Tribolium castaneum: one gene and its partner. The protein of the gene in region 1 binds, or shares a complex with, the protein of each later gene. Links are inferred from orthologs where the notes say so. Each region holds a gene or a part of one and is shown on either strand. Other genes may lie near its edges.

Region 1 (4,586 bases):
ATCGTCAAGCCAGAATTAGTGATTAAAACCGACCCGGAGATCAAATCCGAATTTTTCGAAAGCAGTCTTTCAAATCCCGAACAAATTGATCTATCGTTTGAAGATGTGAGTAGCATATTGCAAGAGGAGACTTTCGATCCGTTGACGCGGTTTTTGGAGCCGGACACGGAGGGGAATTTAACGTTTCTGCCCTCGCCGGAGTCACAGGAAGAACTAAAAGACTTGGGAAGCACGATTTTGGAGGAAATTGGGGAACCTTCGATGATAGGAGAGAGTTTAACTGACCCTGACGAGGAAATACTAGGTCAAAGTGTTTTAAATAATCCTGAATTACAAAGACTGCTAGAACCGTCGGAAGATAAAAATTTACCTCTGCCCGGGTTTAGTCAAACTTTTCAACCTCCTCCTCCACCTCCTCCGTAATATCTTTCTACAAGATATGCATACCATAATTGTGTTCGTAAAATAGGTGGCACACAGCTAAATTATCATTGTATGGTATGTTAAGTTACCAACTGAAATTATAACCTTTTTCGATTGGCAATATTTTCACCAATTCCAAAAAAGTTACCAGGATACGTAACCAGATTCAAACATGTATTGTTCTAGTCTTGCTAAAATTGTTCTCGTCTTCTTTATTCATTTAGGCAGCTCATTAACGTGTGAATATTGCCAAAAATTAATAACGTTATTGAGATTTTACAAAAATATTGTTTATGTTGCTAAATTATTTTACGTTTGTTTCGACAATTGCACAGCTGTTTGACTTTTACTCAAAATTATGTTACAATAGAGTTTCACATAATCGGTTGAGAAGAAAAGGAGTACTTACGTGGAACGGGATAATTGAATTGTATGCTACGTGCAATTGTTATAACGATATTAGGCATAATTTGATCTGAGAAACACTTAATATGTTGTGTTGTAAATTTATATTTATTTGTTAAATTGTTTCCAAAGTTATTTACCACTGGTGCTAAAATCCATCTGAAAACAATTGACAATTATTGTATATTATTGTTATGCTATGAGAATTATTAGATATTTTCTATTGTTAAATTTTACCAATCAAGCATATCTGTAAAAAGTACTTTCACCACTTAACACGATCAAGTACAAAATTGGAAATTTCATTGACTCGTGGCTAAATTAAATTTAATTTATTATGAAACAGGTGTGATATCCAACGTAGCCAAAAGTCAATGACACACTAATTCTTTCAGTTTACATTTTCCGATACTAATGAAATAATCTACCTCATTTTGCAACAATTCATTGCTGTACAATCAGCTAGTCATAGTTGTAAGTCTATCTGTATGATGTTAAAACATAGTTTTTTATACATACTGTATATTATAAAAAGTAATATATTTTACCAATGTATATAATTATTCATATGAGTCTATTTTAAAATATGTACATTTTATTTTTATACATGAAATTATAGTATTATTTATATATTCACATCCGAGTTTATTTTAAAATTACCCCTTTATCTTGGCCACTTCGTTTGTGGCTTCAAAGGCGGGCAGTTTTAAACCGCTGGTGTTTTTTTAGACAGTTGCGTTGGTAGCAACCAAACGTCAAGTTATCTACTCTAAGGTTATGTTAATGTAAACAAAAATTATCTAAACGGCTCCTGTAATGTAATTAGTGGCTAATTTTGACTGTGAAGTTTCAATTCCAGCTCTTTTTTGGATAAAGTTTAAGTCACGATGGGTTTGCTAACAGATCCCAGTGCCGGTCAGGGAAAACTAACCAAAGCCCTTCTTAAATATTACACAAAACTATGTGTCTTGCTATACATAGGCGGAATCGGTTGGTTCTGTTCCCTTGCGTACACCCCCATGAACGCAGGGACGTATTTTTCCGAAAACGCCCTTTTGCCAGGACTCGTCAAATCAGAGTTTCGGGAAGACGCAATCGCAAAAACTTACCACAGCGAGCTTTTGGACGAAATGAAGAAATACGAAGACTCCATTCCGTATCCCTGGCTTTTAGCCAAAATGAAGCAAATTGGATTAGATACCTACACTCACAACTTTACACTGAATTATCCGCTGGGAAAACCCCAAGTAATTACTTCTAACAAAACTTGGCGGTTGAATATTTAATGTTTTTTTAGAAATTTGTTGGTAAAAACGTTTATGGTATTTTACGAGCGGCACGGGCTTCCAGCACTGAAGCTTTAGTCTTAAGTGTGCCATATAGACCCCCTTTGAGCGTCCACGCCACCACCGCACCTTCCATTGCCATAATGTTGGCATTTGCCAAGTTTGCCAATAGTATGTCGATTTATTGTTCAGGGTGCGGGGAAAAACGCAAAAGTTATGAGGGGGTGGTTTTTTAAATTAATATCGGAAAAATCTCTAATGGGTACCCATGTTTTAAATTTTTATAAAATTATTAAAATTAAATCAACGAGCATTGCAATGATGACTATTAAGACACGAGTTAGATTTAGATTAATTTTACTCTGTCGTACTATTTTTTATTTATTTTTTTTTGGTTTAGAAAATCTACATGTAGTACATGTAGTATCATGAATAAATTAATGTGTGGGAGTCCTTAGTCTAGGAATTCCTACGGCATCGCTCCTTCAAATTTTTGGCGTTTTTTTCTAGACACTTGTGTACTTGTGTATGCATTTGTCCTTCAGGATATTCTTCTAGGAGAGAAATATTGGGCCAAGGATATTATATTTTTAATTACTGAACACGAGCAGTTAGGAATGCAAGCTTGGCTGGAAGCCTACCATGGAGTAGCCTGTGGCAATGACGGTACTTTAGACCATGGTGACATTAAGGGACGTGCAGGTGCCATACAAGCCGCTATTAATTTAGAATTGCACGAAACGGCAATTAGCCAAGTGGATATCAAAATTGAAGGTTTAAATGGTCAACTGCCCAACTTGGATTTGTTTAACTTAGCCGCTAAAATGCTGCTCAAAGAGGGAGTACCGCATACTTTTAAAAACAGGCCCAACAAACACTTGAAAGATCCCGTAAACGACTGGTTTTACTCATTCCAGACTTTATTAGCCATGATTTCAACTCAGGCTACCGGGGTACACATCACTTATTGTGTGAGAAAATTTTAAGTAAAAAATTTTAGATACCAAATGGAAATCATGGCCTTTATCACCGTTTTGGCATAGAAGCCCTGACTCTTGAAAGCACCCCCTTAAAAGGGGGCAATAAAGCCGGATTCCCAATTGTGGGCCGCATTATTGAAGGGATATTCCGTAGCTTGAATAACCTTTTAGAGCGTTTCCATCAAAGCTTTTTCTTCTACTTGTTACCTTCATCAGAGAGATTTATTTCAATTGGTAAATAACTTTTTTTGCACAATTTTTTTTATACAAAGTGGTCAAAAGTAATTGTTTGTGTTGGCAGTAGTTATTTTTAGTTGGCCCTAGTGTAAACGTGATATCACATTGAATTTTGATCACTTTGTACAAAAATAAGGGGTCTAATAAACATCTGAACTTAGGGCTATACATGCCTGCTATCTGTTTGATTGCGGGGGCTCTCTTCATCAAAGCATGCGCCAATTGGTGCCAACTTCAGGAGAACCAAGCGGAGACGGAAGACGAGAAGACAAAAACCCCCGAGACGAAAAAACAAGTCAAGAGCAGCGTGAAACCGCGCGATTCGAAAAATTATTGGAAAGAAATGGAAACGCGATTCCAGACCGAAATTCAAACTCACAACCCTCCAGATCCCGATTCCGTTAACTTTATTTCAATCCTTTGCGTATTTCTAATGTCTCATGTTCTGGGGGTATTGATTATGAACAGCCCTCAGCTATTAACGACGCTAGGTGGCCAATATAATTACTCAACCGATGCGTCTTTGTTTTACGGGTTTATAGCCATATCTGTGGTGTTGCTAACAATGCCGCTTTTTATCCCCTTCAAAGCTTGCGAGAAGAGTATGTCGGTGTTAAATATTTTATCGCTTTTGGAATTAGGCACAACTTTAATTTGCGTTTCCATGAATAATTTTTCTCTGGCATTATTTTGCGCCATTATTTATGTACCGTTGGCTCTAATTATCGGGATTACGCGGTGTAGGCTATGCTCTGCCATCAAAAAAATTGTGTGGTTGCTGGCACATCCTCTAGTCGTGCTTACCGCTACCGTGTTAGTATACACATTTTTCATGTTCCCCGGTGAAAAATTCGAAGATAATTTTCATAGGGGCGTAGCGGCGACTCAACAGGCAATCGTTTTCAGTATAGTGGATTCTATGATTTATGGAAATTGGCTCTTTAGCGTCGTTACTAGTGTTTTTATTTCCAACTGGTTGTGTTTCTGGATCGTTGCGTTTGCGAAAGTGCCGCAGGACATTCCAAAGAAGAAAATCGATTAAATGTACTTTTTTTTAATAAAGTGTTGGATTTTTAATCACTTGTTTGAGATTATACACTCCATTAAACCTTTCAACCGTTTTATTAAGTTCTGGGTGGAAAATTGGGAAGCAAACTTTATAAAAGGTTGAACCTTGACACATTTCACTTGCAGCAAATGAGGGAATTCGGCTGTTTAAGATTAATTTTTCCGCTTTCACCGGCAGGAGTGGGGA
Region 2 (3,505 bases), about 3.7 Mb from region 1:
ATAAAAAATGACGAAATTTGATTTAAAAAAAATTCTCCTTGATGAGGAAAGAAAAAAGATTTGGAAAGAATCAGTCGACCAGGAAGAATACGGAGAAAATGTGGAAATATTTGAAAAACTCCAGAAAAGAAATTTAGAAGTGGTCACGAAAAAGAATAAACGATTTGCGAGTAAACAAACAAGAAACGTGAGCAAAGAAGGAAAAATCAGTAAAAAAAAGGCCAAAAAGTGGAGAGAAGGAAACAGTGACACAAAATGTCCGGAAGTGTGTGTAAAAGAACTTCTTTTGCTTATTCATTGTTTAGAAAATAACACACTTATTACGAGAAAAGAGGCTCAAGATTGTATAGAACGTCAAAGTTCAGCATTTGACCTCTTCTGGGACTCACCAACACAGATCTTAAGACTTGTAAGAAAATGTGTTTTAACCCAAGAATGGTCAAAGATGACCTACCTTTTACTGGTGCTTTTAAATTTTGACAGGAAATACATTAATATTATTAAAAATGTAATGAATTGTACTTTTTATTACAATATTTATAACTACTTTAATTTCAGATGGTCAAAATTATGATCAAGTTTAATCCACTAATAAGGGAAAGTGGATTAGAAAACCAGTTCAAAATGTTAGTCGAATCATCAAACAAGTCTATAATTATATAATAAATAAATAAAACAATATTTGTACAAAAGTCTTATTTATTGTGGTTAACATCTAGATCACAAATCACTCTAAAATCAGCAAGGCGTCCTTTCCATCAATCTTCCTCTCCTTGCCATGATTCAAACAAAACTCGCGCTTCAAATACGCGAACAAAATATCAGTCACAAGAAAAATCTGTGCAATGGCAAAGGCCAAAGTGACTCCGAAATAAAAGTTCGCATTTGCGGAGTTTGAATAAATCCACAAATGCCACAAAATCGGACCCAAAGCTGTCGTAATAAGAAAAATCACCCCAACTAAAAATCCCTGCTGGGAGTAATTGAACAAGTGTATGAAACAGGGCAAAAGACTCAACACGAACCCAACATCGCCCAGACACGGATACGACTTAAAAACAGAAATCAGACACAAAATCGCGAACGTTAGCAAAAACGGGTCTTTGCGAAATTTGACCGACAGTGGAATTAAATACAAAACGGTTGCGTTTATTTGAAACGAGCTGATGAACAAGTCGCGAAAGTGGTCGAACATTTCGGTGAAAAAATACCAAAACAAGCCAATATTTGGCTGCAAGTCTGGAACTGTTAGAATGAAACCGTACACGTTTTTCATAAATGCGGTTCCGTTGCTTAAACCAATCGAAATGGTTATAAAAGCCGCAAGTGTGGCGATAAACAAAATCGGGGTGAGAATCGCCCGAAATTTGCTTTTGTAAATTCCGTTAGAGTACAAAAACAGTGGGATAATTAACACAATGGGGTAGAAAGACATCATTGTGCATATTGCCAGAGACAGTACACTCAAAATAACGCTACCGCTTAACATACAGAACAAAAACAAAGCGATGAAAAAATTATGGAACACGACAGTTGACTGTCCAACGCAGTTAAAAATCGTGTATGGATTAAACAGAAACGCCGATGCGACAAAAACGGGCGAATTGACGAAATCAGAGCCCGATAACAGGAACTCCTTACTGTTCAGAGCATATTGTTTTTTATTCTCTTCTTGTTCAATAAATAAGTGAAACATGTATTTCTTCGCGACGAAATACAATACCACGGCCGTTCCCGCATCAAAGGCGAGAAAAATAGTCTTAATGTCCAACTTCCACCACTGTGTCAACACTTTATAAAATAATATTGTTATCGGAGCTTCATGAAGTAAGTCCCCTTCGTATGGATTGATACCTTTGGACTGGAGACAAAGCCCTTCGGACACTCGCTTCCAGGAGTTCAGAGGTGTAGATATTTCGATGTGGTTCGCAATTATGGACTGATATCTCGAAAACATGAGCCAATACCGGATACCAAGCCCCGTCAAGTACATGAATAAAACGGTTCCGCCTTTGTAGCAGTCTTGCTCACATTTTTCGGTTTTCCCATGTGCCATTATTTTACACTTTTCAGGGGCAGTTTTCGGAAATATTGGCGATTACCGGCCCACTAAATAATTGAATAAAGTGAGGTTAGTATCGTGACAGGAACAGGAGTGACATTGTGGCTAAAGCAACGAGCAATACAAACATGAACTAATTTGTGCTAAAAGTAAATGGAATTACATTGGCACATTTTTATTACAGTTTGAATAAAACAAAACAATGTTTGATAAATTAATGGTTACTGTACAAAAAACGTGGTTTTGTCCGCCTATAAATTAGTCAATCATGAATACGCGCGACTTGTCTCCAAGTTTCAATGCTTTTCTTCTGGCCGTTCAAAATTCAGATTGTTTGCAAAATTTTGACTCGATTTGCACGAAATTTTGCTCAAAAATAATTAATTAAGCAGGAAAAAGTGCTACTAGTCGTTTAAGGTTGACTGCTTTTTTTTGGTAGGATTGGAAAATTTGAAAAACTAGGAATCATTAAACAGCGAAGACGGATTTTGAATGCTCAGACAATTTTATGCCAAACAGGTTTACTTTTGACATCAATTTTTGGTTTTTGTGATCGTGATTAATTTTTTGATTAGTAGATAAATTAGTATACAGGTGCTCAAAAACTGGCGCACCAACTCAGTGGTACGTTATTGATAAGCAAGTGCAGATTACGGGAAAAATATTGAAAAAATTCCTAAAGTTATATTTTAAAAAATCTGGAGCTACAAACTTATTGTGTTAACTTCTTTAGTTTTCATTATTTTTTTATGTTTTATGTTTCATACCAGGTAATCGTTCCGTAACAAAACGATGAATAATTATTTTTAAATTTACTATTAGATTTTAGCAGTTTTTTTAATTTAAAAAAATTAAAATTTATCCAAAAAATCACAATGTGTAGATGTGCCAACACTGGGAATTATTTCCTAGGAAACCGTTTCAAAAATAATTTATTTTTATTGTTGCTCAAATTCTATTGCGATTATGACTGTTAGACAACGTTGCCACATATCATTTATCTAAAATCCGTTATTTATCAATAACTTTAATACAAAGAATTTTTTTACTATTTTTACCTTTATATGTAACCAGTTCTCTATCACACACCATTGAGTTGGTGCGCCAGTTTTTGAGCACGCTGTAGAGGCAAATTTTTGTTTTATTCGAATTATTTGTACCACTTCGCTTAATTGCCACAAATTTTTACCTAAAATTAAATAGTTTTCTAGTAAAATGTGTTACAAGTTGTTTTAGATTAATTTCTATTTTTTTTTAGTAGAATGGAAAAATTTAAATTGGTAGTATTTCATCTAATCGTATCCTAAAACCACGTTCCTTACAACAAAAATAAGAAGAGATTTGGGATCTTTAAAGAATTCTACGCCAAATAAGCATATTTTAATTAAATTTTTGGTTATTATAATATTGTTATTTTTTATTAATAAATAGGTGAGTAAAATA

What was found.
Region 2: the proteins of GAA1 (region 1) and PIG-U are in contact, whole or in part, in a cryo-EM structure (PDB 8IMX), measured with the Homo sapiens proteins. The link is inferred for Tribolium castaneum from reciprocal best matches to the Homo sapiens genes GPAA1 and PIGU. Residues at the interface, in NP_003792.1 of Homo sapiens: Gln245, Leu310, Arg311, Arg313, Phe358, Leu359, Ile371, Ala389, Leu390, Trp393, His397, Leu500, Ile504, Leu508, Cys512, Leu515, Thr516; in NP_536724.1 of Homo sapiens: Tyr349, Ile355, Phe356, Cys360, Ile363, Val364, Leu367, Leu368, Val371, Leu372, Leu375, Ile377, Tyr378, Ala379, Gly380, Ser381, Phe386.

What each region holds. Positions count from the first base shown.
Region 1 is NC_087396.1:13,608,781-13,613,366, reverse strand, and holds GAA1 (glycosylphosphatidylinositol anchor attachment 1 protein), read left to right. Parts: upstream 1-1,559; 5' UTR 1,560-1,715; coding exon 1,716-2,075; intron 2,076-2,125; coding exon 2,126-2,285; intron 2,286-2,672; coding exon 2,673-3,067; intron 3,068-3,114; coding exon 3,115-3,328; intron 3,329-3,492; coding exon 3,493-4,373; 3' UTR 4,374-4,408; downstream 4,409-4,586. Other genes in the region: zinc finger protein PLAG1, read left to right, coding at 1-423. UniProt on the Homo sapiens protein: Component of the glycosylphosphatidylinositol-anchor (GPI-anchor) transamidase (GPI-T) complex that catalyzes the formation of the linkage between a proprotein and a GPI-anchor and participates in GPI anchored protein biosynthesis. Binds GPI-anchor.
Region 2 is NC_087396.1:9,929,052-9,932,556, reverse strand, and holds PIG-U (phosphatidylinositol glycan anchor biosynthesis class U protein), read right to left. Parts: upstream 2,229-3,505; 5' UTR 2,057-2,228; coding exon 728-2,056; 3' UTR 682-727; downstream 1-681. UniProt on the Homo sapiens protein: Component of the glycosylphosphatidylinositol-anchor (GPI-anchor) transamidase (GPI-T) complex that catalyzes the formation of the linkage between a proprotein and a GPI-anchor and participates in GPI anchored protein biosynthesis.